Regions from separate parts of the Mus musculus genome. Here region 2 is reported to be linked to region 1. Evidence: microRNA targets listed by miRTarBase, many of them from high-throughput screens and not tested one by one. Region 1 holds a microRNA gene; the other region holds the end of a gene's coding sequence.
Evidence for each region. The annotated mature microRNA mmu-miR-1843b-5p reads AUGGAGGUCUCUGUCUGACUU and lies in region 1 at 2,439-2,459, shown strand. An mRNA with a match to its seed (bases 2 to 7 or 8) in the 3' UTR can be bound and repressed. Matches are read on the target gene's strand: a 7mer-m8 pairs with bases 2 to 8, a 7mer-A1 pairs with bases 2 to 7 and ends in A, and an 8mer does both.

Region 2: the mRNA of Ggcx is a reported target of mmu-miR-1843b-5p. Seed matches in the 3' UTR shown: 7mer-A1 at 3,309-3,315.

Annotation. Positions count from the first base shown.
Region 1 is chr1:159,337,924-159,342,587 of GRCm38, forward strand. It overlaps Mir1843b (microRNA 1843b), which reads left to right and starts at 2,435; the gene lies at 2,435-2,500. The region is part of intron 18 of Cop1 (COP1, E3 ubiquitin ligase); the gene reads left to right. It also overlaps Scarna3a.
Region 2 is chr6:72,429,992-72,433,823 of GRCm38, reverse strand. It overlaps Ggcx (gamma-glutamyl carboxylase), which reads right to left. Exons shown (of 15, transcript NM_019802.5): 15 at 2,718-3,832. The coding sequence ends at 3,668. It overlaps Mat2a (methionine adenosyltransferase II, alpha), which reads left to right. Exons shown (of 9, transcript NM_145569.5): 9 at 1-1,028. Among named protein-coding and RNA genes, the nearest start is that of Particl, 6.8 kb to the left of the region's middle.

The sequences.
Region 1 (4,664 bases):
ATTTTAGTTTTGTTCAATTTAAAATCAATGTAGTTAAAGACTCAGTTAAAACTATTAGAGACTAGGATCTTAGAAAGATACACATGCGTGCACTAATTTGATCCTTTTAAGTACCTTAAATATGTATGCCTTCAGACCCTCCCATCTCCCATTGGTTGAGGCTCTCATCATTCCCTTGACCTTATGCCCTTATTCATAGCAAATCTTATTTGAATTATCTTGCTTGTTTAAAGCCTACCAGTGATGCCTCCAGTGATTACACAATAAGATGTAAGTTTAACGTAATAGCTGATAACTTTCAGAAACAGAAAATGCAAATTATTGTTCCAAGTTCAGTATCATAGAATTTTCAACATCATCACATTATACATAGCATCCAAAGCCTATGCTTTGCCTGGGTCAGAATTCATAATTACCTGGAATATGTATTTAAAATTGTAGTTTCTTAGCTTTATGCTTGTTACCTCAAAGTTTCTGAAGATGAGACCTCTGGTCCATCTCAGGCAGACTCCTACAACCTGACAGCCTTTTAACATCACTATTAAAACCTCACCATGCCCAGTAGAACTACCTGAGGGACCAAACTTTTCACAGTGACCCTCCAAGGGGCATTTAGAGCAAACTGTGGAGCCCTATATAGGAATGTACCCAGAAATGACAATGAGGGTAAAGTAAAAACACGTTTATCCAGGTTCAGGATTGATTTAATATCGGGCACACTGGATCAACCAAACTAAACTGGTTTGACAGAAGACAGACTTGTGCTTACAAGTTTATTGACTACACACTGACACAGATGAGTATTTTTTTTTTTTTGTAAATTATGTGATTTGTATTGTAGTGTCCAGGAAAAAATGAGAAAACTGGTCACTGCTGTCTTGTAAACCTGCAAGGTTTTGTTGCAGGTTAGATTCTAGGAAATTGTTTCATTTAGTCGTTCATATTCAGTTTCTGATATGCTCTTCATTTGATTGCTGTACATTGTCAATCAAAATTTTAAGACCTAGAAAAGAATTTTTGCTCTCTTTTTTAATAATCTGTGGCTACTTTGAATTTTGTTATCAGAAATCATTTATTTAGTCAGTGCTCTGTCACTGTAGCCCAGTGTCTGAGATAATCAGCTTAAAAGAGAAAAGATATATTTTGGCTCACAGGCTTAGAGATTGCAGCCAAAGGTTGGTCTGATGGATTATCTTGTAACTTTTGTGGGCATGCCAGATGGCAGTGCTCTCTTAATGGCTAAGAAGCAAAACAGGCAGAAGAGGGGACCAGAGTCTACTGTTCTGTCTGAGAAAATATCCCCAATGACCTAACAGTGCATCCCAATCCCCAAGATCTGCTTGCCAAATATTCTGCTTCACAGAAATGCCACCAATAGATGAAGCCTCTTAACACATGGGCCACATTCCAAACTAGTGAAATGAAGTGCCCTAGTACGTCAGTTTTACACGTTCTTCACCTGTGCCTTTTAATTGATACTTATCTAAACAATTTAAAGTCTAGCTTATTAATTAAAAATTTAAATAACAAAAATAAGAGCGTGTTTAAGACAGTTGAGCATTGAGAATTTAAATCAGAGAAGGACGAACTCTAAGAGTATCTTCTGTAGGAGAGAAAGAGTGTATCACAACATGTCAGTTGATTATTTTCAGCTTTGATGTGTTAGCATTCTTGTTTCCTTCTGGTTTATGTCATGTCATTTAAGGCAAGTGCCATAGAATCAGCTTTGTTGTATATCTTTATCTTCCATTTACTTACCAAGTACAATAATTCTTTCTTTGGGTGTCTCATATATCCATCTTTTCAATTGTTCTGGTTTTGTCTGTATTCTCCTGTTCTTTTTCCCTTGCCCACCTATATTACTTATATGAGTTTTCCATCTCTCTTAGCCTGTCTACATACACTACTACCAAATGACTTCCCATCGTCATAGGCATTACTATTACCTTTGGCACCCGTTATTGAGACAAGTTTCTTGTTACTTAAAAGTAACTGTAGCTTATATATTTTGACCACCAGTCCTATTTCAAGAATATATCATAAGCAAAATACCTATACTTTCAATTGCTTCATCTCACTACAAAAATATGTTTATTGTATTATAATCCCATTGTTACATGTTCTTTGGGAAATCCAAGCACTAATTACAGAGGGAAAATACAACCAAATATATACTTTTAGACTTCTTCTCTCTGACTAGAAATCCTTTGCCTTTCTTTCTTAAATGTGCCTTTTTAGGGTTCTTTTTTATTATGAGAATTCTAAGCAGTTAGAAGTTGGAATAATATAAAAATACAGAAAGAAAATTGGAATATAAAAGACTATAACAAATGTTATATTAAGAATAAATCACACTAACAATGGAAGCTGCGGAGTCAACCATGCAGACAAATGAGAAGCTGTCTTTTGTCTGCAGAAGGCAGCAATCCTACATCAACATGGAGGTCTCTGTCTGACTTAGGATAGCTGGCTAAGTCCGATCGTTCCCCTCCATACAACCTTTTGAATTTCCCCTCTAAATACTGTTTTGTTTATCATTTATGCAATATTTCTGCTGATTAAATTATACTAGATTATAGAATCAAACAAACAAACAAACAAAAAAAAAACCCAAGTTTTCTTCAAGCATTTTGAAGTATTTTATGGATTTTGATTGTTTGTGGTTTGACCCTTTCTTAATGTTCTTTAAAATAAAGACTCACATCACCTACATTCCTAGATTGGAATTCCTGCCTCTACTATTTAAATACAGGCTGGTTGGTAGTTTTTGAAAATAGTTATTACTATTGGCTTATTTATTTGAAAAAAAAATCTGTAACTAGCATGTGTAATGTATGTAGAATTGCCGGGTTTTTTTTTTTTAGGGGTTGAGTTAATTAATCTTGGGCTATCAACATTTTGTATACGAAGGGACTATTGAAAGTGTCTATGAAGTTCTTTGTATTAAAAATTGATTTCTTGCTACATACTAGGACCCATACCTTTGTAATCCCAACATTTGAGAAGCTGAGGCAGGAGAATTGCCTTTAGTCCAAGGCCATGAGTCCCCTATGTTGAATAAAAAAGCAAAATACAGATGTGTGTTCTTTTAAGTCTATAGCCAAAGTTTGGAAATGACCATTTCCAAGGAAAGTTTTTGCTTCTTAGTACAAAATGTGAAGTGTTTGAGTCAAAGTTTGGGTGGGAGGATAGGAGAAAAGGAGCCTTTATAGGAACTGAGAGGCACACAGCACTCGGGTATACTGTGAGCAACCCCACCTAGTTCTATAAATTGTGAGGTGATTTTTGTTTGTGGTCCTGAACTCCCCATGTTTCTTTCTCTGTCCAAATTCTATATGGAACAGTTGTTGAAACAGTAATGAGAGTTGAGACACACTTGTACCTGATAAATTCTTTTCTAGGATCCCTTTTTCCTAGGCACATGGCAAGATTACTAGTTTAATAAGATAGAAATCAATATTGATGTATTAGTCTTCATGAGCTGCTGGTTCTTGGCCTTGGTTTTCCGTAGACTGTCATATAATAGAAAAAACAGAATATTTATGTTCTTTCTTTTTGTCTGGCTTCTTCAGCCTGGTTTGTTGTTGAATTTGTTGACATTATTCTTTGTATTTATAGTTTTACGATAGTGTTGTTTTTCTAAGCAACTTTTTTATTTATAATTGTAGCAAAAGTTTTGTGTTCACTCATTTTGTATGTAAAAATGATTCTAGGTTAGGTTTGAATAATAAGCAAATATTTATATGGCTTAGCAGTCTTTCTTTTACACATAATATCTATAAGATAGAATTGCTACATCATAAGAGGTGTGTAGTTAACTTTGTATTACCTTTTCCCAAAAGTAATGGATTATTTTTTTCATTCTTCTCAGCAAACTATGATCACCTACTTGCTCCTTATCCTTGCCCATATCTTACATTATTAGTTTATTTATTCTAATAACTAAGTTATATTTAATTTTGTTGAGATAAGCTTATCAGCATTTTTCATAGGCTGGTCATAAACTCCATGGTTTTATTTGTCCTCTTAAACTCAATGCATGCGGGTTTTTTTTTTTATTTTTCTATTAGTTGTTTGAGAATTTCATAAAATCTGTTTTGATAATACTCACCCCTTTTTCAACTCCTCCCAGTTTCTCCTCCCCACCCCCAGCCCTTTTCTATTCCTCCATTCTCTCTCCATTTACTTACACTTTTACGTGTAGATAACTTATCACCTTGAATTGATTTTTTTATTATAAGTTAATAAATTGAATTTTGTATTAATGTGTGTTTTTCTCAGTCTCAACATAATTTATATCCTTTGATATCTTTATTTTTATTTTCATTCGTTTATTTATTTATTATTTGATGCTAGGAATTGAGCCTAGGGCTTGGTATAAATGCTAAGCTTTCCTGTACCAGAGAGTCTGTCGATGATTTGTTAATGTTAGAAACCGAGTTAAAATCTGGGTAAATCCTACCTGTATATAATGTACTGCTCTTTACATTTAAATCTTTTTGTGTGGGGGTGTGTATGTACTGCATTTGCAAGTGGAAATCCAAGGGCACATTCTGGGAGCTAGTTCTCAGTTTTCACCCTGTGGGTGGGCCCAAGGATTAGCTCTCAGGTCCTAGGTGTGAAGCCAAGGACCATCAACTGCTGAGTCAGCACCAGCCCCTAAT
Region 2 (3,832 bases), not on the chromosome of region 1:
AAGCCCCTGTCCTTATCCTCCCTGTAACTCATTTCTAATTATGTAGTTCTTTATCAGGGAGTGTTCCTATCCAATCAATCTTGCATGAAACGAAAGTTTCAGTTGGAGCTCTAGCCTGACTTTGAAAAAAAAAAAAAAAAAGGCAGTTACGATTAAACCATCTCCCTGGTGCTTATGCTATTAATTGCCACCTCAAACAGCACCAAATCAAAATCTCTCCACTTTTCAGCTGTCTTTGGAGGACGTACGTAATAAGGTTTTATTTAGTAAACCAACCCTATGCATGGTTTCAGCACTAGCCAAACCTCACCAACTTTTAGTCTAGAAAAACAGGCATTTGGCACCCTTGTGATATACAGAGAAGTCACAGGGCAGTACCTGAGGGTCTGTAGGTTGCACACTTTGGTACCAGGTAACTTTTTTTTCTTTATAAGAAAGAGTACTCCACACTGCACAATAGCTCCTCCCAGGGTTTTAACTTTGTTTTATTTTCAAAACCAGGTCCAATGAGCTTTCTGAACAGCTGGTGTAGCTACAGAGAAACCAGCTTCCTTCAGAGAGCAGTGCTTTTGGCGGGGAGGAGGAAATCCCTTCATACTTGAACATTTTCTAATTGCTTATTTATTGTATTCTGGGGTATGGCGTAAGTACAGAGAAGCCATCACCTCAGATGGCAGCTTTTAAAAGATTTTTTTTTTTCTTCAACACCATGAATTCCTTTAACATGTTTCCAGCATTCCCAGGTAGGCCAAGGTGTCCTACAGAAAAACCTTGGGTTAGACCTACAGGGGGTCTGGCTGGTGTTAACAGAAGGGAGGGCAGAGCTGGTGCAGCTGGCCATGGAGAAAGCTGACTTGGCTGGTGTGGTACAGAGAAGCCAGCTTGTTTACATGCTTATTCCATGACTGCTTGCCCTAAGCAAGAAAGTGCCTTTCAGGATCTATTTTTTGGAGGTTTATTACGTATGTCTGGTTCTCAATTCCAACAGTTTAATGAAGATCTAAATAAAATGCTAGGTTCTACCCAAACTGTGTCTATTACTTGTCCATTGTTGCTTTCTGAGCTAAAATTTATAGCATCTGCTACCCATTGCCAGCAATAAAGTTTTCAACCAGGACTACGATAAAAGCTTAGTGATTTAGAAAGCCTGGCTTATACTGTGCATGCACCACGGTTTATGGAGGTCAGGATTTTTATTCACACTTGGAGATCCGTCCTGGGAAATCAACACTGTCTGAAGGCTTTGGCAATTAAGTGCTGCCTTTTGGATGGCAGAAGCAAGCAGAACAGGGGTCAAGAGGCTTCTGTGATGGCAGGAATTTAGTCTATATGCTAGATAGGTATTTTACTCTTTCTTGGCACTAAAAACATTTAAGAGTTGGTTTTTCAAGTCCTGGAACCCTGTAGACCAGGCTGGCCTCAGATCCGCCTGCCTTTGCCTCCCCAAGTGCTGGGATTAAAGGCATGCGCCACCACTGCCTGGCCATTTAAGAGACTTTAAGATGAGACTAATTTCATAGACATGTAGCTTTAATTCATAGCAATCAGAAACCCTGCTATGGTGTTAATGTTACACAAAATGTATTGATTTTCTTTGCCTGGTGGTGATGGCAGCTTGTTCCTTTAATCCTCCCACTTGGGAGGCAAAGATAGACATAGTTAAATTGCTGGTAGTCTCCAGAATGGCTCATGTATCCATCCAATTATTCAAGAATAGCAAGTCCTTATCTCAAGTTTTTAGAGGCTTGCTTGCTCAAGACAAAAATGACAAATTGCCCACTGGCAAGAACAGGACAATTAGGAACTTGAGATCCTCAGCTACATAATTTATATTTGGGGGTGTCCTGGGGTGAGACCATCTCAAAAGTGCTCTACCACATAGATGTGCTTGTGAGATCTTAAAAGCTAGCTTGAGCCCTCAATCTTAAGGAGGTCCTGAGAAATACTAGGTACATAAACACTTAACTAGGCCAGTGAGAAGAGAAGGAAATATGGGCAAGCAGGAAGTGTACTCGAGATAGGTGGAGTACTAAATAGGGTCTTGCTTCCCCTGCACTGTCCCTAAACTGAGCCTCTGCTGAAACTATAGATGCATACCAGTGCCCAGTTTATTTGGTAAGACTTACTGCATGGGAGACTATGTTACCAACTGAACCCCCATTTCTAGTCCCAAGCAGCTTAACTACTACTGAGCTCATCTCCACTTAATTCACTCTTAAATCAACATGGAAGGAGCATCGCGTGAACCTTGGGTTCATAAGCACTGCAAAAGTTTGAAAAGGACACCCCCCCCCCTCCTTACTACTCAGGGCTGACCGTTTAAGGACATAATGCCAGGTTGTATTTCATCAGAGCTCCCCGAGCCAACCCCTCTGGCCCATTGTATGCATTAAGCTAGATTTTTGGTTCTCCATTCTCAGACCTAACCTGTGCAATTGACCCTACCCTGGTCTTATCCCTAACTAGATTTCAAAATAAAGGGTGAAGGGATAGAGTGATAGTAGAGATAAAAATAGGATGAATAGAAGGAAGATGTGATGGAGTTGGACAAATACAAGAAAGCAGAAAACCTCAAGGCTTATGACTCAGCAATGGCTTAGAGAGTTACCATTCACTAAGCTGATTTATGCAAAAGTAAGCCATCTGGCTTCCCTATTTAGTAGTGCTATTCTGATGCCAAAGATGCTGAGCAACTTGCTGGCTACAAATAGGAATAAGTAAATTGTAAATTAAAATCTACCTTGTGCATTTGTTAGTACCTGGTCACCCTAGTCACTTGGCATTAACATAAGTTGTAAGCTATAATTCTTCAGCTTTAGTGTTGGTGGGTCTGAAAATTACAAGCAGCAGGATACAGGACCTTAAATCTAACAGATTTCAAATTGTCAACTCCCAGATGCCTTTGGGTAAATTTTGTCTTCCTTTCTTCAAAGGTAAAGGCCAATGCTTCTTAAAGTACTAAGTATGTTAATTCAGGTACACTGCTTCAAATGGTACCAAGCACATAGCAAGCACAATGAATTCAGCTACATTCACTGTGGTGTAATTCCTTTTCCTAAAGAACAAGTCAACTTAAAAAAAAAAAAAATGACTATTAATAAGCCAGGTAGTGAATTTTGAGACCACTAAAACAAGTTTAATAAGAAAGCCAGGTAGTGATGTCCCGTGCCTTTAATTTCAGCACTCAGGAGAGCTGGTCTGGTCTACATGGAGAAATCTTGTCTATAAAAACTAAAAGCCCAGTGGGGCGTGGTGGCACACACCTTTAATCCCAGCACTTGGGAGGCAGAGGCAGGAGAATTTCTGAGTTGGAGGCCAGCCTGGACTACAGAGTGAGTTCCAGGACAGCCAGTGCTACACAGAGAGAGACCCTGTCTTGAAAAAGAAAAAATACAAAAAAAAAAAAAAGAAAAAAGAAAAAATGTAAGCTATAATTTTAAAGAACTTATAAGGGGAAAAAATGTAAAGGGAAAAGCAACTAGGTTTGGTGATCTATGTAATTACAAAACAGGCTGAAGCAGAGGGACCAACCATGAGTTTGAGGCCAGCCTGGGCTGTACTGTGAAAGCCTGTCCCATATCATTTTTCTCCAAAAATATGTTCTTTGCGTAGACAATAAGCCTATAACAGGCTGCCCCCACATCTGCACAGAGCATCTGTACATCCCTCAGAACTCAGAGTGAACATGCTCAGAATCTGGCTCTGACGGGTGATTTGAAGAATCTGTGTTTGAAGCACTTGACTCATCAACTGGTTCAAATGGTCGCAAGTTTGCATATGTCACCTCTTGGGCTAGTTGCTCTAGGGAAGGGCGGCCTAATAGCAGGTTTCG